Linked DNA regions of Rhinolophus ferrumequinum. The protein of the gene in region 2 interacts with the protein of the main gene of each other region in a pairwise test. Links are inferred from orthologs where the notes say so. Each region holds a gene or a part of one and is shown on either strand. Other genes may lie near its edges.

What was found. The genes of interacting proteins can lie anywhere in the genome.
Region 1: the proteins of DISC1 (region 2) and SH3BP5 interact in a two-hybrid assay, tested with the Homo sapiens proteins (2 studies listed by BioGRID and IntAct). The link is inferred for Rhinolophus ferrumequinum from reciprocal best matches to the Homo sapiens genes DISC1 and SH3BP5.
Region 3: the proteins of DISC1 (region 2) and SMC3 interact in a two-hybrid assay, tested with the Homo sapiens proteins (2 studies listed by BioGRID and IntAct). The link is inferred for Rhinolophus ferrumequinum from reciprocal best matches to the Homo sapiens genes DISC1 and SMC3.

What each region holds. Positions count from the first base shown.
Region 1 is NC_046300.1:31,250,901-31,258,848, reverse strand, and holds the start of SH3BP5 (SH3 domain-binding protein 5), read right to left. Parts: upstream 3,045-7,948; 5' UTR 2,808-3,044; coding exon 2,670-2,807; intron 930-2,669; coding exon 867-929; intron 1-866. UniProt on the Homo sapiens protein: Functions as a guanine nucleotide exchange factor (GEF) with specificity for RAB11A and RAB25. Inhibits the auto- and transphosphorylation activity of BTK. Plays a negative regulatory role in BTK-related cytoplasmic signaling in B-cells.
Region 2 is NC_046310.1:25,365,142-25,372,702, forward strand, and holds the start of DISC1 (disrupted in schizophrenia 1 protein), read right to left. Parts: upstream 3,059-7,561; 5' UTR 2,862-3,058; coding exon 2,804-2,861; intron 1-2,803. UniProt on the Homo sapiens protein: Involved in the regulation of multiple aspects of embryonic and adult neurogenesis. Required for neural progenitor proliferation in the ventrical/subventrical zone during embryonic brain development and in the adult dentate gyrus of the hippocampus.
Region 3 is NC_046299.1:16,764,208-16,771,696, forward strand, and holds the start of SMC3 (structural maintenance of chromosomes protein 3), read right to left. Parts: upstream 3,045-7,489; 5' UTR 2,895-3,044; coding exon 2,880-2,894; intron 1,802-2,879; coding exon 1,726-1,801; intron 1-1,725. UniProt on the Homo sapiens protein: Central component of cohesin, a complex required for chromosome cohesion during the cell cycle. The cohesin complex may form a large proteinaceous ring within which sister chromatids can be trapped.

The sequences.
Region 1 (7,948 bases), on a different chromosome or scaffold from region 2:
ATCCTCACTCTTTGGGACCAGATGTTTCCTGCCTTTTCCACTGACCTTCCCTGCTATTTCTCCTGCTACAGAAACAGGTCCTCCCAACAGCTCCCTGCATTCCTTCAGCTCTCTGACAGTCATTCACAGGCTCTCAGATATATGCGGAGGATATTCAAATTTGCTGATTGATGGTAAAACCAACCACTACTGAAAAGGAATGGGGACTAATTGGTAGCTGTGAAGAATACTAATCTGTTTACACAGATTGGAAGATGCCCCTGAAATTCAAATCAACTTTTGTCTCCCAAGATTCTTCCCAGCAGGAAAGCCCTTCCGTCTAAACAGCTTTTGCTTACCATTAAAATAATTATATTCTACACACAAGCAGACAATAAAGAAATGAGCAGGGAAGTAGAAGGGGGTGAATTATTAGAGCAGGAGAGTCAAAAAAAAAAAAAAGGTTTTAAGTCTGAGCAAACACACAATGTTTCCAAGTACAATATGAGGAACTGCCCTAAAATATTAAAGAGATTTTGTGACCTCATGTATTCTTCTCCATTAAAGAGTTCAGCTCATTTTCACCTTAGTTCTTTTAGCTTTTCCACAGACACATTAACTTCAGGGCTTAGGCATGTGTAAAGCCCTTGGTTTTGGCCCCACAGAGCTTCCATAATAAAAAAACAACATGTGAAATTGGATCCACATGTGTTCCACCCACAAGCTGGGCTCAGCCGTATAGTTTATTCTGTCAGACAGCAGGCTGTTGCTCAACTGGAGGAGGGGACACCAGCAATCACCCTCCAACTATTAAAACAAAATTAACCATTCTGGTGTTAGCAGGACAGACACCAGTTCACCAAGAACAGGAACCTGGCCTTCAGTACCTCAAGTTCAGTCTCCCGTCTGTTGATGTCATCCGTGGATTGATTTAACTTCTCCAGTTCTCCCTAACAAAGAAAAGAGGCAGAAAAAAGATTTAAGGGATTTGTCTTTTGTTTCCAAGTGACTCAGCCCATGACCTGCAAAACTACTCCAGCACAATTTGGGAAGAAGGAAGTGTCAGTATTCTCAAGAAAAATAGTTGAGCCTTGGCTAGAAGAGAAATGAATGTCAGCATTTCTGAAACCTTTGCTTGATGGTGTCCCTTTTGAAAATGTCATACGGTCATAGGGATTTTCTTAGGAGGTTAAATATTTATTCCAGGTTTGTGCCTTCAGGTAAACCCACCTGTTACAAATCATTTAAGGGCTGATATCAAAATAGTACCTTCTGCCTTACAGCAAGAACTTTGCAGAAAAGAAAAGAAACAAAGCCAAGCCAAAAGTATAAACCTAGTGAAATGATTTAAATCGAGGGCAGAACACTGGCATTAACTCATTGGTGGTTGAGTATTTTTGTAGAGAGATGAAAATCTTTTCAAACTGCCAATTATTCAATCTCCCTAGGTGTTTTTAAAAAAACAAACAAAAACATTAGCTTTAAAAAAAACTACCTTTAAATAAACATTTACAAACTAAAATTTTATAAAAAGCACCCATCATGAAGTCAACTCATTTTACTCTGCAAACAAAGGATCTTGTTAACAGAATTCCTGTACCAACAAAACAAGATACTAGTCCAAACTGATTAATTTAATTAATAAAATTTCTGATACAAAGATTTTTTTCCACCTGATCTTTACCTTGCCAATCTGCCAAAACAATTCATTTAAACTGCAACAGCTGAATTAAATGAGCTTTTAATTGATCTGTGCACTGAAAAACCAATTAGGGCGGGTTCCAGGAATTGAAAGCATACTTAAAAGCAATATATATTGTGTACACACACAGAGAGAGAGAGACACACGTGTGTGTGTGTGTGTGTGTGTGTGCATGATTTATGGGAAGGTAGGAAAAACGAGTCTTGGACTTCTGCTTTTTGCTTAGAGGGTGAAAAGGTTAAGCGGTCAACCCTAGATCTTGGCTTGGAAATTGTTTTTTAATCATCTCCCTTACAAATGGAGGTGCAGAGGTCCAGGCCAATCCCCTCGCCTTCTCCCCGTGTCAGCTTTGCGCATCAGTTGTTCCTGATTTCTGTTCACACCCGACCTCAAAAAAGGAAAAGCTAGGTTTTAAATCATTTGAGGCCAAGTGGAGGGTTGAATCAGTAGTGACAAAAAGAAAAAAGGAGAAAAAAAAAAACCCTTCAGTTTGGTTACAATCAAAGGAGAGGAAAGATGGCTCAAGCCGGGCACCTCCACCAGGTGAGGACTCAGAACCCAGGGCACCAGTGCCAGCCCACGCTGCAGGGGCGGACAACGCCCACCCGGCAGCCGACCCCTCCTTCCAGGGCCAGGAGGCCGTGCAATGCCAGCGGTGTGGCGAGCCTGGCCGGGATACCCGGGATACCCGCGTGGCGCCCCCGCCCCCTTTTTCCCTTTGTTGCACATCCGCCCAACCGCTGGGCACGCTGCAGCGATCCCCTGATTCTGCCGCGGTCTGCGGGGGGATCCCGGTAACATATTCAGGCCGCATCCATGAGGGCACTGCAGCCTCCCGATGAACCCAGTGAAACAGTATTCAGCCTCTCTCTTCTTGCCCCCGGACCTACGTCGCCAGCACCCCCACCCCGGAGCGCAGGCACTGGATGCCGATCTCCGCGGCGGCCCTCGCCAAGCGGGGATCCGGGGCGCCCTCCGCGCGTCCTACCTGAATCCGGGGATCCACCTCTTCTTCCTCCTCCAGCTCCTGCTCCATCCCCTCTTCCTCCTCTTCCTCCAAGTCCCGGGCCGACTGCAGGAGCTCAGCCGGCTCCTCCGAGCGGCTCCGCTTCAGCGCCGCGTCCATACCCGCAGCCGGATCGCGAACAGCGCAGCGGGCTTCGGGACGTTTGGGAGGGTGGGCGGCCGCCGCAGGCTCGGCCGGAGCCCGCCGGTCTCAGCTCGGCACGGTCTGGGAGCCGCAGCCGACACCAGGGAGCCGCTCCGGCCGAGGCGGAGAGGAGGAAATGGGAGCGGCCGCCCCCTTTCTGCCGCGGCCGTCAGCGCAGCGGCGCCCGCTCCGCCCTCGTCCCGCCGGGGCCACCCTCCTTGCTGCTCTGACTCTCACTCCTCCGCCGGTCCCCAAAACCCAGGTCTCGTCACAAAAACCCAACTCTCTAAAAACCTCTAGCGTGGCGAAATAGGAGGGCCCTCACCCCCATTTTAACTTAACAGACCGAATATATCACAAAGTACCCAATGTTGGCCGCCTACTTTTGGGGCACTGTTCTCCCTCCTTCCTCATCTAAGGCAAATTGACTATATGGAAGGAAAGTTTGGGGTATTTCCATTCTCTGAAGTCACCTTTAGAAGCCTGTACTCAGTGGCCGTGAACCAATTTCAAGACTCACTCAAACCCCTGTCTGTAACTGCCCAAAGCACGTTTCTCCCCTTGGGTGAACCTTGGGAATTGTATTCCCTTGAAGATTTCCTCGGAAAAGGGAACAGAAACGTATGCTCACATAGACACAAAAGTACAGAGGAGAACCAGCTGCAGCTCCATGCATGGATCACTTTTCCAAAGGAATCCCACTGAGCAGAGTTCCATACCAAACACTTGGGCAGTTGTGGGATGGTCCTACCTGAATAGCTAGGAGGTATGGAAAATCCATGGATCAGAGGTGTGGGTGGGTGGGCACAGCCTTTTCAAGGAGGTGGTAAGTGTAAGTCCTGTGAATGGGCACGTTCCCTCCAAGGATTTCTGAACTGGTGAGGTTTCCTGCCCACCCAGAACAAGTGGGCAGCCAGAGCTTTCCTGGCAAACTCAACATCACAAAAGGCCAAAGAACAGCATGTCTGTGCTGTTATAAAATGTCAGGGCTACTGTGATGTCAGGGGAGCACAAGGTGAGGTGACCTTAGCAAAGCAGAAAGGACATTGCCACTGGCCACTGCTAATGTCTCCATCATTACAAAATGCAGAATGTGTACACTTTCTATATAGAGGCTGTGGCCCATCTGCTCTGAGTATGGAGGACAAACTTGCTTGAAGAAAGAGCTTCTTTCTGAGAGCCTATCATTAAAGCCACCTTGGAAAACTTGCTTCTGACAGTTTCATCAGAAGCTAAATTGGGGTGTTATTCCTTGGGCAAGGTACCACCCTATCCACACTGGCGCTGTGGTCCACTGTCAAAGGAGATTTCATCCTGTCTCCTAAAGGTAAGTAATATAGGTGTGTGCCATAGATTTGTTTCTGAAAAGATCACACCTATTCGTTGTTCTTTAAATCAAGAGAGACTCAGCAATTCTTCAAAAAAATCTTCCGAAGTTCCCTGATTTTCCAGTGGTGGATAAAGGCAGGGACAAGATGGCCATTAAGGGGAACTTTGGGACACATGAGCCACCAATGTTTCCCTGGTGGCTTGGATTTGAGCCCATAATTGAGCAGGTTCTTCCTAACCTAGCTGTGAATAACCTGAGCGAGAGAGGTCAAAAACCAGAAACGAAGTCAGCCCTGACTCTAAATGCTTGTCAGCTGGTGGACCCCCATCTTCAACAACAACCTCTAAAATATATTTTTATTTATGCTAAGATCTAAGAGCAAGAGTGGTTCAAATGCCTCCACAGTATATAGGGAAACTGTGCTAGAACATCGATTTAGACTTCTGTTGTTTTATTTTTAGGAGACCTGGGCCAGTTATAGCATTAATCCCAATAGTGTTCTAAAGTTAAAATAAGAAAAACACATAAACCACAGCAGTACTGTATATTTTCTGTTGGTACATATATATGCATATAAATGCATAGAAAAAGGTCTGGTGGAAGGATTCATACCCAGCAAAGGGGATATTTATACCCCTGGGAAAAGGGGATAGAGAGGGGCTCAACATTGGCTATGATGGGGATCGGGAAGGCAAAGGGAACTTTAATCTCTCAATGATGTTTTTATTCTTTACAAGGAGGATGTATTTATGATTATTTGTGTAATTTAAAAATAAATTTAAAATAATACATACTGAATTAGTTTTCTGTTGCTGTATAACAAATTACCACCAATTTAGCAGCTTAAAACAATACTCATTCATCACCTCACAGTTCCGTAGTTCTGAAGTTCAGGTACGGCATGACTAGGTTCTCTGCTCAGGGTATTCAGGCTCAATGAGGATGTCAGGGTGTCCAGGCTGCATTCCTTTCTGGAGGCTCTGAGGAGAAATCCTTTTATGCTCATTCAGGTTATTGGCTGAATTCAGTTCCTTGTGGTTGTAGGACCAAGGTCCCTGTTTCCTTGCTGACGACCAGCCAAGGGCCAGTCTAAGATGCTGGAGGCTGCCTGCATTTCTTGCCACATGACCCCCTCCACCTTCAAAGCCAGCAACGGAGAATTTTGCTGGTGTTCAATTACATGAAATCTCACATTTCAATCTATTATTCAAGAAGAGCCCATCCCTTTTAAGAGTTCACTTGATTAGATTAGGTCCACCCAGAATAGTCTCCCATTCTTAAAGTCAACTGTGCCATCCATATACATAACCTATTATCATGGAAGTGACTGTCGTGCAGGGTGGCATGCGGGGTCTCTGGTCCCGCTCCCCACATAAGAACGCAGGACATGGTGAGGCCAAAAAGGAACACCCACGGAGCCATAGGTAGGGGAGTCATACCACTATAGTCTTGCTGGCGGCTGGGTTGGAGACACAGGAAGCAGGAGCCACACTGGCCGCAGCCTGCCGTCCTAACTGCAATCCGCGCTTGCCAGCCACCATCGTCTTGCTAGCCCCCATTTATATTAGCGTAGCCACAGCAGTTATATTAGTGGCCAATGGCTCACTGGTTACAGCTGATGGCCAACTAGCCACAGCTGATGGCCATCCAATCACAGTTGATGGCCATTTACTATCTGAGCCAGCACCTTTCCACATGAGGCCGAGAGCCTGGAAACTGCACTCCTGGCTCTGTCCCCACAGTGACTCTCCCATTATATTCACAAATTCCCCAAATTATACAAGAGCATGTTCATCAGGGAGGAGGAAATGGGCCAATTTTATAAATTCTGCTGCTTCACATACCAAGAAGGCAAGCCATGTAAATGTTTCGTAAGCCAAGCAAATGCTTGATATTTATTTTAGCTAGCCTATCAATCTGGAACAGTGGTTCTAACGGTGTGGGCTGGACACCCCTGGAGGTCTCCAAGACCTTTCAGGATGCCCTTGAGATCAAAACTACTTTCGTGCTAATACTAACAGAATATTTGCCTTTTTCACTCTCATTCTCTCACAAGTATGTATGCATGGGAGTTTTCCAGGAGCAGACACGTGATATCAAAACCGATTGAATGCAGACGATATGAGAATCTAGTTGTCTTCTACAAAGCCACACGTTAAAGAGTTTTGCAAAAATGTAAAACAGTGCTCTTCTCACTCTTTGTTTTGTTTTGAAAACTATTTCTCAATTTAGAAACTTGTTATTTTTCATAAAAAATACATTTATGTTAACACCAAACAGATTTATTATTTTTAGATGAATTAATAAAAAATGTTGTCTTAAAAATTCCATACAGTAACACCAGTAGTTATAACCACATAAACAACAGCTCTCAGACATCTCCAATCATTTTTTAAAAATATAAAGGAGTATTTGAACCAAAAAATTTGAGAATGACTGATTGAGAGGACCTGTGTGTTCTAAATTTGTTATCCTTTTTTATTTGTATTTCAATATTCCACTTCCTCCTTCATTCAAAAGATGTGTACCCCCACCCAAGACCCTTGTTGGACACTGGTGGAGTATTACAGGCACAGTACATTATTGCCCATTTTAAAAGACTTTAACAATTTTAAATGATTGAAGAGATGGTTAGATAAGGTGCCACTCATGTATCATGTCTTTGTTTATTTCCTAGGATCTGTATTTTGTCAATTCCTATGAAGAACTCATCACCCAATTATAATGTTGCTCCTTTGGAGGAAACGGTTAGCTTTTTAAGTGCTTTGTCTGTGATGTGGTTTCTGAGTGCCATCTCTGCCTGCCAGGCTTTGGGTGGGTCCCAGCAGTGCAGGGGCACACCTGTATCAAAGCCACACTTTCTCGGCAGGGGCCTGATCACTTTGTGCAGTGTGGGCAGTGAGGGGAGATGGCTGACATCTTAAAAATCTTGAGGACTGGGGTGGCCAGTTAGCTCAGTTGGTTAGAGCGCGGTGCCGTTAACAATAAGGTTGCCAGTTCAATCCCCACATGAGCCACGGTGAGCTGCGTCCTCCACAACTAGATTGAAACAACCCCTTCACTTGGAGCTGATGGATCCTAGAAAACCACACTCAAGAAAAAAAGTCTTTCTTTGAGGACTGCATTGCTTGGAAGCCACACTCTCTGTCGATTTATTTTTACTACCTCCTTGCAGTTTGTTTAAACCCGGACACTGGGAGTAAATACACTATATGTGTTTATTCCCTGCCCACCACTTCCTTATGTTGTAGATCTTCCTAGGTGAAAATCACAGCCTCTGTGCTGTCCTGGTGTCCATTTAAAACAGCGGGGTGAAATTTGGAAAGGAGGAGAAAAAAGGTATCTGGCAGGATGAGCCTGGGTTTACATATTCCTCTATACTGGGTCCTTATTTGTCATGCTCTGGTTTCTTTCATGGGATTAAAATCAACCTCTCCTTTTGTAACCCTACCTCCTCACTAATGTCACACATTTACAATCCAAGCCTCTCCTCCCTGAACTATAGAGTTAGCAGGTCTCCAGCCCAGAGACCCTCCCCTTATTTCGTTCACCCTTTGCAGTGGTGAGCATTTGGGGATGTCTCTATTTCTGTAGATGTGGAGAGAAATTTGAATTTGTTTAATAAACACTCACAGAAAATCCTGCCATGCTCAAGGGGTGTCACTTTCCGGTCTGTAGGTGAACAGAGGGGTCGCCACCGTGTCTAAAATGCTCTTCAGCCATTTTTGTGAAAAGAATAACTTGTTTTCCCCCAAACACACGAAAACCCAGGAGTGGGAGAATGAGA
Region 2 (7,561 bases):
GTAAAATTGTGCTCCTTTTCCTATCAGTATTTGAGTAAGATGAGGCATCCTTTAATTTACAAATGCAAGACACATACTCTCCAGTGTCAAAAATAACACCTAATAATTATGCCAAATCATATTATCAATCCACTCACAAATTCAGAGACAACAGGTATGAAAAAGAAAAGTTAGGTTGCTGTGCATGTCTCAAAACTAAATTTAAACTCAGATCCCACATTCCGAACACAATTCACTCACAAAACTTGATATGTCACCTTTCAACCTGTGAAAGTAATTAGCCTCCATGCAGGGCCACCTGTCAAAATGAACATTTCTATTCCTGGTCAATTTGTTCTCCTGAATGAACTTGATCATGTTCGTGATTAATATCAACCCTAGATATGTAGAACCCAGGGGAGTTAAAGCACCTACCGCATTCAGGCAGCTGACTGCAGGGAGCTGTCTGGACCTCTAGAAATGGAACCACCTGGGTTAGGGGAGGAGGCAAAATGGGAAACCCCAAAGAGCAGTGGGAGGAAATGTACACAGTAGCTCAAATCCGGGACAATCCCAATCTCCAGGACACACGTCACAGAATACCGCAGCTGGAAGGGTTCCCACATGTCGGCCCATGCAGCCCCTCCCCACGGGCAGACCCCCCACTAAATTCCCCACAGTGTCACCCAACACTAACTCAAATGTTTCCAATGGCAAAAAGCTCACTGCCTTTCTAGGCGGCCTGTTCAACAACTTTTTTTTTAGCAAGTTTCCCTCTAAGTTAACTCAAAAATTGATACAGTACCAGTGTGTGGCTCTAATTCTAATTAGAGCCAAGGAGGTACTCTATAAATGCTGAACAAATGAACAGTCAATGAACGAATGGACAGACAAAAGGAACTGCTTGAAATTTTAAGTTTTTAAGAGCCATGATGGCTCAAGAAAATAAATCGAAAGGATTTGGTTCCATTCACCTCATGTTTCTTAAGCAGGATGAATTACGCAGGACTATGGAATAAAGCGTGGCTTGATGGAAGCAGCTCCAAGTAAGAGGACTCAGACTCTAATACGCGGTCTCCTGCTGTATCCCTCACTTTTCACACCTGTAAAATAAGCAGGCCAGACTCTGAAGGTCTTGCTTTCAGTTAGTAAAAATCGGCCACCCTGTGAAGCGCAATAAAGTGAAGCACCATGAAACAAGGTACGTGGCATATAGTTGTCAGCAGCTGCACTTGGGAAATGCACTTGATGCCACACCTGCCAGAACTCCTGACTCTATCCTTAATCGTTAGGTGACCTGGGGGGCGGGGAGGGGGTGCCGGGAAGCAGTAATCCTGAATCTCAGCTTTGGGGGATGGGGAATGAGGATTATAAATCCCTATCTCACAAAGGTTTGGGGAGGGTGTCATCCAAGGAATTCCCTAGCACCTTGTAAACTCTGCAAACTTGCCAATGTTAACATTCCCTCCTGGAAGCAGTGACTCACTTCAGGGTGCTTTCACACCTCTAACCTCACCGGATCCTAGGCAGCTCTATCAGTACCAAAAGCCGTAATTACTCTCCCCATTTTTCTTTTATCTTCTTTGTAAACAGATGAGGAAACTGAGGCTCAAGGTCACAGAGCTCAGAAAGCCAATCCAGGCATCTTTTCACTCAGTGACAGATTTCTCAACTGAACCTCAAAGGACTTCCTGTGCTATGCCTGAATGGAATAAAATGAAATTTCTTTTAAAACACTCTGCTAATCATACTTTCATCAAATCAAACTGGTATTTCCGTATCATCCCAAATTATTTAGATTTGGCTTAGTAAAAATAGTAACTAAGGTTACTTAGAACTTACCCTTTCTCTCAGGCACTTGACTAATGTGTCACATCCAGACACATTTAAAACACACAACAACTCTATGTGGTAGGAACTGTCATTGTCCCCATTTTACAAATGGGGAAACTGAGGCACGACTACATCCAGGATTGAGATGCAGGCTGACTGTCCCCAAACCCCAATCATCTTAGGGCTCTAGTATTATCCAAATCCCATTTTCCAAATGGCCATACATTCTGCAAAGTGCTTCCATACACACCAGACCTATGGGACAGGGTCACCCGTGTTCTCACACGTCTCAGGAAACCGAGGATAAGGGATAAGGGAGCGGCTAAGGGATGTGTCTGAAGTTACCTAGCAAGGACAGCAGAGGAGCGCTCGGGACGCCAAATCTCATTGTCTGCCGCAAGTCTCAGGTTCCTTTGCATACGTGTTAACGGTGAGATGGTAGGAGACGTCCCGTCATTCTTGAAAAGCAACCATCCCCTTACTGGCCTCAGTGTCAACGCAAAGTTGACAGCGTGACCCGGCCCTGTCTCCTGCGCCCGGTGCGGGTTACCGTCGCCGAGTCAGAAGTGGGTCTGGGGCCGAGGGCGAGCCGGACGGGCCCTGCCCCTCGGGTGGACGGTGAGGGCGCACGGCCCCGGGAGGCTCGGGCGGCGCGGGGTCCCGGGTCTGATCCAAATTCCCGCACGCCCCTGCCGCCTTCCTTGCCCACCAGTACCCGCCACGGGGGCGTGTCGGACGTGCCTCTCGCCAGGGTCTCAGCACCCACCTGGCTCAGTTCGGCGTGGGCTGGTCGTCCCAGACCCCCCTTCTCTCCCAACTCCGCGCGCCACGTGCCCTGCCTCAGTTTCCCTCTCCTCGAAAGGGGTGCACCGAAGCCAAGGTGCTAACAGAGGCACAGCTCAGACCTACACGGTTTCCAGGGGGCGGCGCGCGCCCTCCCCGCCCGGATCCCGGACCCCGGCCCCGCCCAGCCGCGCTGACAGCGACCTACCTGCGCGGTGGCCCCCGCCGCCACCCGCCGGGGCGCCCTGGGGTCCCCCGGCCCGCATGTGTCCCGCCGGATCCTCCAGCTCCGCGGCGGCGGGCGGCTCTGTGCGCCCGAGGCCAGCGCCGGGGCGCGAGCGCCGGGAGGGACGGGAAGTGGGGAGGGGGCGGGCGCGCGGGCCGGCGGCGTCCCCCTCCCCCGCTGGCCCTGCGGCTCCGTTTCCAGCCTCCTTTCCTTTCACACGGGCGCGCACACACGCACGCACGCGCGCACACACGCGCGCGCCTGGGGCGGGGCCGGTGGGCCCACAGCCTGTCTCCGGACGCTGCAAGTTTGCTGTTCACTCCGGCTCATTTCTGGACGACGACCAGAGGGGAAGTGCGGTGGGGGAACCGGTGTCCAGGGAAGGAGCGACGGGAGGCCTTCCGGGTGGGTGTACAGGGCGCCTCCCAGATGCGAGATTAGGGAAGTGACCAAAGGGTGGACGGAAGAGAGGAGGGGACGAGAGGGACTGGTTTTTACAAGATGGGTAGTTGACTGAAACCTGGAGCAAGAGGTGACCTACCACATGAAGTGGCAATGCCAGCACTGCCGTGGTATGCTGTAGAGGAAGTGTCAGAGGCCTGGGGAGTTGGAATGTTAGAGGGGTTATCATGTAAGTAAGACTGCTTACCCACTCCAGGAGGGTGCGGACCACACACCCTTCACCAGGACTCTGAGAAATAACTTGTGGCCCAGCACCCTTGGTCACTCTTCTCTGTAGGTCAGAAATTACAGTGGAAACTGTGGCCTCTGAACTGGAATCCTTAAATGCAGTGGGGATAATTGGTTCCAGGATGGCAGGGGCCAAATGGTGGCAATGAATCACCAAAGGCAAGGGGGACATGGTGTCTGTAATGGATGGCAGAGTCAAAGCAGCCATCAGATTGGTGACTCCTGCAGACCGGCCAAGTTGGCAAGCCAGTCTATGCTGCTCCTAGAAGTCAAACAGCTGGGAAATCTACTAGCTCGTACTTAGTCTGTGTAAGCAGAAAAGTTCTAGGTCAAGTGAATGAAAGCCTGACTTGAATTCCCACACAGAGAGATTCGGCCCTTCAATCAGTTCCCAGACTAGAGTCAGTTTACAGACCAAAAATTAATTAATGGAAATGTTGGCCTCCTTGAGGAAAGACACTGCCAAAAATTTACACTGTTAATCTCTTCTCTAGCCTTCCCCAAAGGGTTGTGGCCTTTTACCAGGGTGGCTGTGCATTGGAGAAAAAGGAATTACTCAGACTTTTCAAGAATTACCAGACATTGGCTCTGAACTGACACTAATTCCAGGAGACCCAAAACATCCCTGTGGCCCACCAGTCAGTCGGGCCTTATGGAGGTCAGGTGTTCACAGGAGTTTGAGCTCAGGTTCGTCTCACAGGGGGTCCCTGCACCCATCCTGTGGTTACTTCCCCATTCCAGAGTGCATAATTGGATAGTACTGAGCAACTGGCAGAATCCCCAAATTGGTCCCCTGACCTGTGGAGTAGGGGCTATTGTGGTGAGAAAGACAAAGTGAAGCCGTTACAACTGCCTTCACCTAGGAAAAGACTCAACCAAAAGAAATCCTACATTCCAAGAGGGACTGAAGAGACTGGTGCCACCGTCAAGGACGTGGAGGACGCAGGGTGGTGATCCCCACTACATCCCCGCTCAACTTGTCTGTGTGGCCTGTGCAGGACACACATGATTCCTGGAGAATGACAGTGGGTTGTCATCAACTTAACCAGATTGCAAGTGCTACTCCAGATGTGGTTTCACTGTGTGAGCAAATGAACACCTCCCCTCATACCTGGTGTGCAGCTATTGATCTAGCAAATGTTTCTTTCCCTACCTATTAGGCCACCAGAAAAGCAGCTTTCTTTCAGCTGGCAAGACCAGCAATACACTTTTACCATCCTACCTCCGGGGTGCCACAACTCTCCAGCCCTAGGTCATCATTTAGTCAAGCAAGACCTTATCGCCTTCCCTTCCACAAGACTTCACACTGGTCTGTCACATTAATGACATTATTCTGATTGGACGGAGTCAGCACGAAGTAATAACTACTCTAGGCTGATTGGTGAGACATTTGTATGTCAGAGGGTGGAAAATAAGTCTGACAAGAATTTAGGGGCCTCCATGCCAGTGGATTTTCTAGTGGTTGAGTGGTGTGGGGCAGCCCTTCTAAGGTGAAGTATAAGTTGTTGTATGTGCCCTGCCTACAACCAAAAAAAGGAAGAACAACGGCTAATGGTGCCCCGTGGGTTTTGGTAGCAACATATTCCTCACCTGGGTGAGCTACTCAAGTCCATTCACCAAGCGACCTGAAAAGCTGCTGGTGTTGAGTGGGGCCCAGAATAAGAGAAGGCTCTGCAGCAGGTCTGGCTGCCATGCCAGCTGCTCTGCCTTTTGGGGCAGAGGACCCAGCAGATCCAGTGGTGCTTGAAGTGTCAGGGGTACTAGAGACGCTAAGGGAGGATTTGTCAGGCCCGTATGTGTGAATCATATCACAGGCCCTTAGGATTTTGGAGCAAAGCCTCTGTGGATAACTACTCTCATTTAGAGACTGTTAGCCATGAACTTTTAACCATGTACCACCACGTTACCATGCTACCTGGGCTGCCCAGTATGAACTGGGTGCTGCCTGACCCAAAGTGGTAAACTTAGGCATGCGCAGTGGCCCTCTATCATCAAATAGAAGCGGTAGATACGAGATCAGGCTCAAGCAGACCCTGAAGTCACAAGTAAGTTGCAGAAGGACGTGGCCCACATGCCCACGGTCTCCACTCCTGCTACATCACCTTCTTTTGCCCAGCCTGCACCTGTGGCCTCACGGGGAGGTCCCTATGACTAGTCGATTGAGGAAGAGAAAAGGCAGGCGCAGTTTACAAATGGTCCCGCACAATAATCAGGCGCCACCCAAGAGTGGACGGCCACAGCACTGCAGCCCCTTTCTGGGACATCCCTGAAAGACCGTAGTAAAGGAGAACCCTCCCAGTGGGTAGATCTTGGAGCAGTGAACCTTGTTGTTTGGTTTGCTTGAAAGAAAAAATAGCCAGAGGTACAAGTGTGTGACAGTTCATGGACTATGGCTAATGTGGCTGGATGGTCAGGAGTTTGAAAGGAACATGATCGGAAAACTGGTGACAAGGAGATTTGAGGAAGAGGCGTGTGGATAGACCTCTCTGACTGGGCAAAACAACCTGAGGATATTTGTGTCCCTTGTGAATGTTCACCAAGGGGTGACTCAGCAGAGGAGGGTTTTAAGCAGAAGGATGACCTGTCCTGTGGGTACCAGTCTCTTTCCCCAGCCAGTCCTGACACTGCCCAATGGGCTCAAGAACAAGTGGCCATGGTGGCAGGGACAGGAGTGATGCATGGGCTCAGCTACACACATTCCACTCACAAGGCCAACCTGACTATGGCCACTGCTGCGTGTCCAATCTGTCAGCAGCTGAGACCAGCAGCATGGCACCATTGCCCAGGGTGACCAGCCAGTTTGCTGCGTGGTGGCAGGTTGATTCCATGAGAACACTTCCATCATGGAAGGGCAGCGTTCTGTTCTTACTGGAACTGACACTAATGACTGAGTACAGATTTTCTCTCTCTACACACAACGCTTTGGCCAAAACTACCATCCATGGACTTACGGAATGCCTTATCCACACAGCATTGTTTCTGATCAAGAAACTCACTTCACAGTGAAGGAAGTGTAGTGATGGACCTATGCTCACAAAATTCACTGGTCTTACCATGTTCCCTAATTTCCTGAGCAAGTGGTTTGATAGAACAATGGAATGGCCTTTTGAGGACTCAGTCACAGTGCCAGCTAGGCGCAATACCTTGCAGGAGGCTCCCTGTACATGCTCTGAATCACTGTCCAATATAAGGTGCTGTTTCTCCCATAGCCAGGATTCAGGGGTCCAGGAACCAAGAGATGGAGATGGGAGTGGACCACTCACTCTTAGCCCTCATGATCCACTCGCAAAAGTTTTGCTTCCTGTTCCCACAACTTTATGTCCTGCTGGCCTAGAGGTATTGGTTCCAAAGGGAGGGATGCTTCCACCAACAGGCACACAATGATTCCATTTAACTGGAAGTTGAGACCGCCACCTGACAACCCAGGCTCTCCACCAGATGCTGGACTGCACGCCCGCAGGGCAGCAACCTTCCTTCCACAACCTCTACACCAGCGCCTTTCACAGCCCTACTCTCTCAGCTGGAGACGCGTAGCTTCCAGGTTTCCTGCAGCTCCAGCTCAGCCACCCATGTCATTCTGGTTAAAGATCTTTCTCAGATTCTTCAACCACCCTCTTTAGACTTTTGCTTCCGCAGCATCTCCCACAATTGTGAAAGGCCTAACTTCTATAATATGTGCCTTATGCACAACTCACAGTGGTTCTGCTTCTCCAATGGAACGCCCACTTACAGACCTACTCATTGCAGATCTCTGGCATGGCTACTACACAAGTCTTTCTTTAGTTTTCTGACAGCTCTCATTCCAGCGCAATGCCGTATTAATCAGGACTCTTTTCATTGCAACTCAACAAAACCAGTAGACTTTAATTTAAGTGAAAAGAATATTGGTGAGGATACAGGGGACTCTGGGGGAGTCCACAGGCATCATGGAGCCACTGCTCTAGGAAGATGAGAGGCAACTTCTGAAAAGTCAATTGCTCTCCTCCCTGCTTCTTTGTGCAGACCTGCTCCCCAGTGCACCCACGTTTACATGTTTCTAAGCCAGCCACA
Region 3 (7,489 bases), on a different chromosome or scaffold from region 2:
TATGACCAGCTTTCCCACTCAATCTTGGCCCTAAGACTGCATCGTCCCATTAAAGCTTGTCTCCTTAAAGCCTTAGTAGCTAAGCAGGCCTTGGACTCTTCTAGGAAACCGGGGCTAATACAAGTATAGATTGTTAAAATTAAGAATGGTTATTTCTAAGAAGAAGGATTACAGTTTTAATTTTTTTCCTTTTAGGTTTTATGCTCTTCCATAATATTCTACAATTAATATATATATTTCTTTTGTTAAAAGGCTAGAAAAAAGGTAACCTTAAAAAGGTATACGTTTGGTATATTCAAACATTTTTCAAGCATTCAAACATAAGCAAAGAGATATTTGCCTTCAAATCTTGTTTTCTTAAGGGTCAAAATCATTAAACAATCAAAGTGGTATGCTTTCACAGGATATTTTTAGGATCAATTTCAGTCCACACTACATTTGGTCTTTCTTACGTTATTTTACGTAAGTACCTGTTTTTAAAATGTTAAACCAATAAAATCGTATCATGTTTTGTTTTTCAATTAAAACAAAAGAACATTTAATTTCCTTTGTAACCATGACTATTAAAAATCCGAATGTTGCAACCCAAGTACAGTAGTAAAACAGCTGTCGCATAATACTGTAGCTAAAACAAAAATACTTGATAGGCCTTATAGACGTAACTTAAATCATCCGAGGTAATGATGGTCTTCATTTTAAAGTTCATTTATAAAATTATGCAATTGCTATACATGCTTTTCTGGCATCTAGAAACATTCGTTTCATCTATCCTTTAAAAATTCAGCAGAACATCGGAAAACATTTGCTGGCTGTATCAGCAAAACAGAACATTATCATCTGAAGAAACTACAGACTAAATATTGTACTGTAGGGCAATCACTATTAATTAGTGCTTTATCCTCACACATTTGCTTTCTCATTTAATCTTTCCAATAGCCCTAGAAGATGGGTATCATTATCTCCACTTTACAAATAAAAAAACCTGAAGCCCCTCAGCGAATAAGTTTGAAAAATACATGCCAGAACTGGGATTTGAATCGCATTTGTACTGCTCCATAGTGCTTTTCTCACCTTAGACATTATGACAGGAAAAAGAAAATCTTAAAACAATGTAATTTGTGAATAACTGATCATCTTTGAAATAAGGCAATAGTGAGCATTTTAAGTAGGAAATAACACATCAAGAACAGAATAGCTCAAACACTACATTTAGTGTCATTCACTATAAACTTAAAGCTTTTAAAACACACTTACACACATAGGAGGCAACTAAAATAAAAATGAGTAACTTACTACTCTCCGCGTATTTTAAATATATAAACTAAGCAATTCATCAGTGCGGATTAAAAATGAAGTTATTTCATACAGAAAACTAGAGTGCCAAAAAAAGTATACACATTTTAAGAAAGGAAAATGTTAAAATTGTTAATACTCAATATATACCAATAAAAAAAGATGAACACAAGTCACGTTTGACTTCTGCAATTACAAGAGGTGCTCAAAGTGGTTACCATCAGCGTCCAGACACTTCTTTTCTGATTAAGGCAAACTACCATTTGAGGCACGTTGAACAAAGTGTCCACCTGTATATATTTTTTTGGCATCCCCGGTATATAAAGTTAAGTAATATTGGAAGATAATTCTTGTCTCCTTAAGCCTAGATATAAGCAGAATTTAAATGACTTTATAGATCTAAATCTGATCTAATAAACCATGAATACTTACCGATAACATTATGTTTTGAACTGAAGGGATCTACAATTGTTTGATCTCTGTAACTTCGAAAACCTTGGATAATTACCTAATAAATAAATAAATTAGATTTTTCAGAACACACACAAAGAAATAACTTCAAAACATTTTTCTTTTGCACTTCTTCCCTTTCTGATTTCTCATTTAAACGCAAGAAAGAAAACTTTCAATTTCATATGAGAAAAATTCATTTTGGAATGTGGTAATTAAAAATCTATCAGTAACCCTTGCCAGTGCTTTTTTTTTTTAAGGAGTTTTAATTGGTAACCTGTTAAGGGAGTCAGTCCCAAAATCAAATACAAAAATCACTGTATAAAGTTCTCTGCCACACTGAACTTTACAGGAGAGTAAACGCATGAAGGAGGCAGACTGGCCCCAGCTTTCCCGACTCCAAGAGACACACGAGCCAGCGAAAATGAGTCGACATTACAAGAAAACAGTGATTAGAGCCCAAAATATACAACAGAGAAACTTCCCCAAAAGATGTGAATGGGTTCATCTTTGTGCTGGACCCCAGCGCGGGAAGACCATTTTGACAGAAGTAAACAACTGAAAGAGGAGGCGCTCCACATCTCGCTAGAAGCGTCCCTTTCATTTCTCCGCTAAGTCGGGACGGAGAAAGGCCCCCGGTTCAGCAGGCACCCCAGCCTGTGCCCCCAGAGGAGCCCCCCGGGGCGGGAAAACATCTCTCCACACCCCCCGCGAATGGCCAGCGCGGGGCTCTCCTCGCAAAAACACGCAGCTTCCCGGCCTCCGGCGACTCCGACGCGGCCCTCAGCCAGCTCCGAGCCCTCGCCCGGACCCCGGCCTCCCCCGACCCGGGCCCCCCCAGGAAAGCCTCGTTCCTCCACAAAAGCCGCCCCGCCGGCCCTTCCACACCTCTCGGAGGTCCTGCCTCCCTCCGACCAGCACCCTGCACACAGGCCTGGACTGCAAAGGGGCGCCCCAATTCTTCGCGTTCCCCGCGCTCCCGGGGCGGGGCCTCTCCCTTCCCCCACAGCCCCCGTCTAGCCCGGGCCCACTCAGCCTCGAGAGGTGAGAGGGCGCGGGGCGCGTCGCGACACCCCCGCCTCCAGGAGCGGTACTCACGACTCCGTGCCGGGGTGGGAGGAACGCACAGGCCTTACCTGCTTTATGTACATGTTTCCGCGCCTCTAGCCGGGGAGAAGGTTTCCCCACCGAGAAGCAACAGCGCGACCGCGGGGTCAGGTGAGGAGCCTACGAGACCCCTCCCCCGAAGCACCGCTCGCTCCCCTCCAGCCAAACAAAATGGCGGCGCCCGTGAAGGCGGGGTCCGCGCCTCGGACGGAACCACCCGCGCTTTCCTCACAAAGCGTAGGGGGAGTCGGGGCCCAGTCTGCTCTTTGCTTTTGGCAAAAGGAGCCTTCTACGGCTTCTGTAGGTGGATTTCATTTGATGCTTCAATTTGTAGTTGGACCTTTCCTGAGACTAGGTCGAAACTTCATTCAGAAAAGCCTTGATCGCGAAGTTGGGCCGTATTCCTTTCGATCGCGGAGGCAACGGTTGCGTCCACCAGCGGGGAAAGGTTCGGCGCCAAAGCCGATTGTGAGAATCCGAGAGCCAGTAACAGCGCGGGCCGGCGGCCACGTGTTCTCGGGCTGTTTAAAAATGCGGCCTCTGCGCAGGCGGCTCTGGTCCGCGAACCCGCAGACTGCTGGTGACATCGGTAATTAAGTGTGCGGTATCCCTGCTGTTCCTTCTCTCTCTCTCTCTCTCTCTCTCTCTCTCTCTCTCTCAACTTTTATAAACTTAGAACAGCCCTCACTGTCTCCGGACAGCCCACTCAGAGGACAGCCCCGCAGGGCCTTGACGCTCAAAAATGTGTTTTAATAGTGTGACAATACCGTGTGAACTGTTCTCTGCCATGTGCTATAAATGTAGGCAGACTTGGACAATTGCAACAAGAGATTTGTACAAGATTAATACATGTATTTTGAAACATCCTGAAAAGTTCGTGCTAGTGGCAACCCTAAGTGACTCTGATCTGTATCAGTCTTAGTTAGGGGAAGAACATCTGGTTAGAAATTGCATCTCTGGGCCTCTGTAAAATGACCTGCCACTCAGCCATTCAAGTGGGTTGGTCCTCCGCGCCCTTCCTGCTGCTGAGGGCAGTTGCGACCCTAATTGTTTCTAAATTGTACTATTTTTAATAGGAGTCTACTAACTTCATCCCTGTCCACACCCCTTGCTGCTGGTAGAGTCCCTTATCAACACCTGATCAAATCCTATCCAGCCCTTGACTTAAATAAACGAATAACAACCTCTTTAAAGATTTCTCCAGGATTAACATCTCTACATTGTCAATTTCTAACAGGGATTTTAGGCATATTAATACAGCAAAGTTTTTTTTTTTTCTTTTTAAAAGCAATTTATTTTACTTGATTCTGTTATAATGAGAGCCAAATTACAGCTTCTGAGAAAGGCATGGCAGGTCACCTTGGTGAGCTTCAGGGAGCTCACCTTTTTTTTTTATTGAGGAATGTTGGGAACAGTGTGTTTTTCCAGGACTCATCAGCTCCAAATCAAATCACTGTTTTCAGTCTAGTTGTGGAGGGTGCAGCTCACTGGCCTATGGGAATCAAACCGGTGACCTTGGTGTTTATGAGCACTACGCTCTAACCAGCTGAGCCAACCGGCCGCCCCTACAGTAAAGTTTTAAGCCTCCGTTTCCTAGTCTATAAAATGAGGATGACAAAATCACTTAATGTTTATAATTTAAACTAGGATTTATAAAATAATCCTATTAAATTGCATAGATATATAGATGAAAGGATGGTCACTAAAACATTTATGATGGTCTTCACAGTGATGAGATTTTTACTTCCTTAGACTTTTCCATATTAAATGAATCTTATACAATTAGTTTATATGATTTATACAGACAGAAAAAAAGATCAGTAAAAACCAAAAATATAAAAAGGTGATTTTGAGAATTTAACACACTTATTTATATTTATTGTCTGTCTCTACTACAATAAAAATTCAAGAGAAGGGACTTTATCTTGTTCCTGCTGTTTCTTTAGTAACTTGTTCCTAGAAAGTACTCAACTTCTATGAAGGAAAAACTGCAGAATGCAAAATACTTACCCCAGTACCTGACTCATTTATGCCAGCTATTGGTATTTAAAGACTCTCCATGGCCCCATCCTATTCACCTCCAATCCCTATGGTAGTATCATTCTCTTCTAGGAAGCATTTAATGAACATATGGATCTCCTTTAGCAGGGAGGAACAGTTCATCACACCCATGCCCTATCTGGGGGCAAAAGGACATTCCCAAAAGTAATTGACACCATGAAACAGACAACCACTACTCCAGTGCCTGGTGCTCATTGTCAAGCAAATGAATACTGCGGGCGTTTTACATCAAAACATCCAGTTGACAACAGCATCACTTCCTTCAGTTTTCACTTTTCTCCTCAACCCCACCTCTGAGTCCACCTGATCCTCAGATGCACTGGAGGGGATGGGAAGAGGCACTGATCATAAAGTCTCTTTAAGAACAGGATGTCTTTAATACCCAAAGCATAGACACACAATAATCATAATTCCTTATATTTGTGTAGTTCTTTATCCCCTTCAAAGTGCTGTCCTGTGTATGACTTCATTTTTCTCACTATCATGTTCTGAGGAACAAGGGTACTTATTATTCAGCATTGAACTGGAAACTCTGGGGTCTTATTGACTCCATCTACAAATTCCATGACTTGGGGACACACCGTTTCTCTGTAACTAAAATGGGACCATTCTCTGCCCTTCCAACAGCAGACGCAAGGACTGCCTCAATATGGTGGCATGAGCAGGCTAAGGGCTCAACTTTGGGAGTCCCATGTCACATCCCAGCTCTATCACTTGCTGGTTATACGACCTGGGTAAGATTAACCTCGTGGCACTTCCGTTTCCTCATCTATAAAGTGGGGATTATAATGATACCATCTATAAAGTGGGGATTATAATGATACTTACTAAAACTTCTGTGCAGAGAAATTGAGATGATTCATGTAAAACAACTTGCACAAGAAATAATGTTAGCTAATGTTCATAGTTTATAACCAAAGCAGTAAGCCCCTGGGAAAAAGACAACAAACAGCTAACTTGAAAGGTCAAGACACCAAAGGACAACTGACCAATGTTTCTGGCACCCCCTCATTATTCATTCAACAGATATTTACTGAGTATCTTTGGCATGAATGTCTGCTGCTGTTGGGAAGGGAAAAAAACTTCCCTCTATCCTCTTAAGTGATTGAGGGGCCTTCAAATTAAACTCAAACTGACAGATTAGCAAGAAAAAAAAACAACAGATTTCAATCATGCACAGTTCACAAAGAAATTTGACTCAAAGAGGTGTTTAGAATTTGTAGCTTATATACCATTTTCATAGATGAAGGGGAAGGAAAGAAGGACACTTACGGAAAAACTAATGATTTATTATTTAAAAAGGGGGCAGAGAAAGCACTTAAGGGAAAACAAGTGACTGTTAGGAAAGATATGCTAGTTTTTGTGACATTGTCTGTTTGGTTGTATATAGTGAATGTGGCAACATCTCACATCATTACAAGAGTCAGATTTCCCTGGGTGTTCCTAGGGAGGGCATTTATGACAATTGAGCTCTTTTGGGAGGCTCTGATTTTAGGCAGATAAAAGATTTCAGAACTCAAATACTTTCCCCTCAAAATAACTTTTATGCTACCGTGGCATATTCTGGACACCTCTAGGGTATCCAAAGTACTTGACACCTCCAGGTCTGAAGAACATGATATTACTAGTGTAGTGGCCCAACATCATGTTCTGCTCAACGATGAGATATTTAAGGACTTTTCAGACTATAGTAGGACAGGATTGACGTGGCCCCAACGTAAGACCTTGAATGTGAATTGCTGCCTGCACTGCAGGAATGCTCCCCTCCTTCCAGATGAAAATTAAAAAGAATGCATTTGCCATAGAGTGGCTGCATAAGTGTCAAAGGCTGTGTTGGTCTCTTCTAGTAAGGATTCCACATCCAATATGGCAACTGAGTTACATCTTGCCTAAGTGATGTTAGTCCACTATCATCTGACAGGATCCATCTGGTTTTTGCAAGGACCTCACTGATGAATTAAAAAGGGAACGTAATGGGCACCACTATTCCTCATTTTTTATGCCTTTGAGAGTAATACTCATCCCTGCCAGTCTGCCCAAAATGTGGTACTAATTCTAATTTACTATCTTGGCTGGGTTCAAGGCAGTTTTAGGGACTTCCGCTTGGCCTCTCCTACCTAATGGCTCTTAGTCCATAGATCTGGAAACTAATGTGGGATTTCTGTCAGTCGCTAAGAATATCAGTTGCCGTGGTCATGCACTCATGGGCCAGGGAAATGACCGTAAAATAAGTGTGGACCCGTTGCAATCAATGTGAAACAAACCTGGGCCAGGATTTCATTTATCTACTGGCTTTTGAACACCTCCATTCTATCAGGGGAGCCATGAATGTGTTTGCACTCCCCTGGTATCAATGTCAGCTCAGATCCTGTATCTAACAGCACTCAAAAGATCTGGATGTCCCCCTTTCCCCCCCAGGTTCAGTTGCTCTGATAACCTTTTAGGGTCAGATTGAAGAAATTGATACTGAATATACTTAAGGAAGGAATATACCATCCTCAGGACCCAATCTTCCCTGTAGTTGATGGGCTACGGTGTAAGATCTGGCACAGGTTTGGAAACTAGGTGAGGAGTTGTA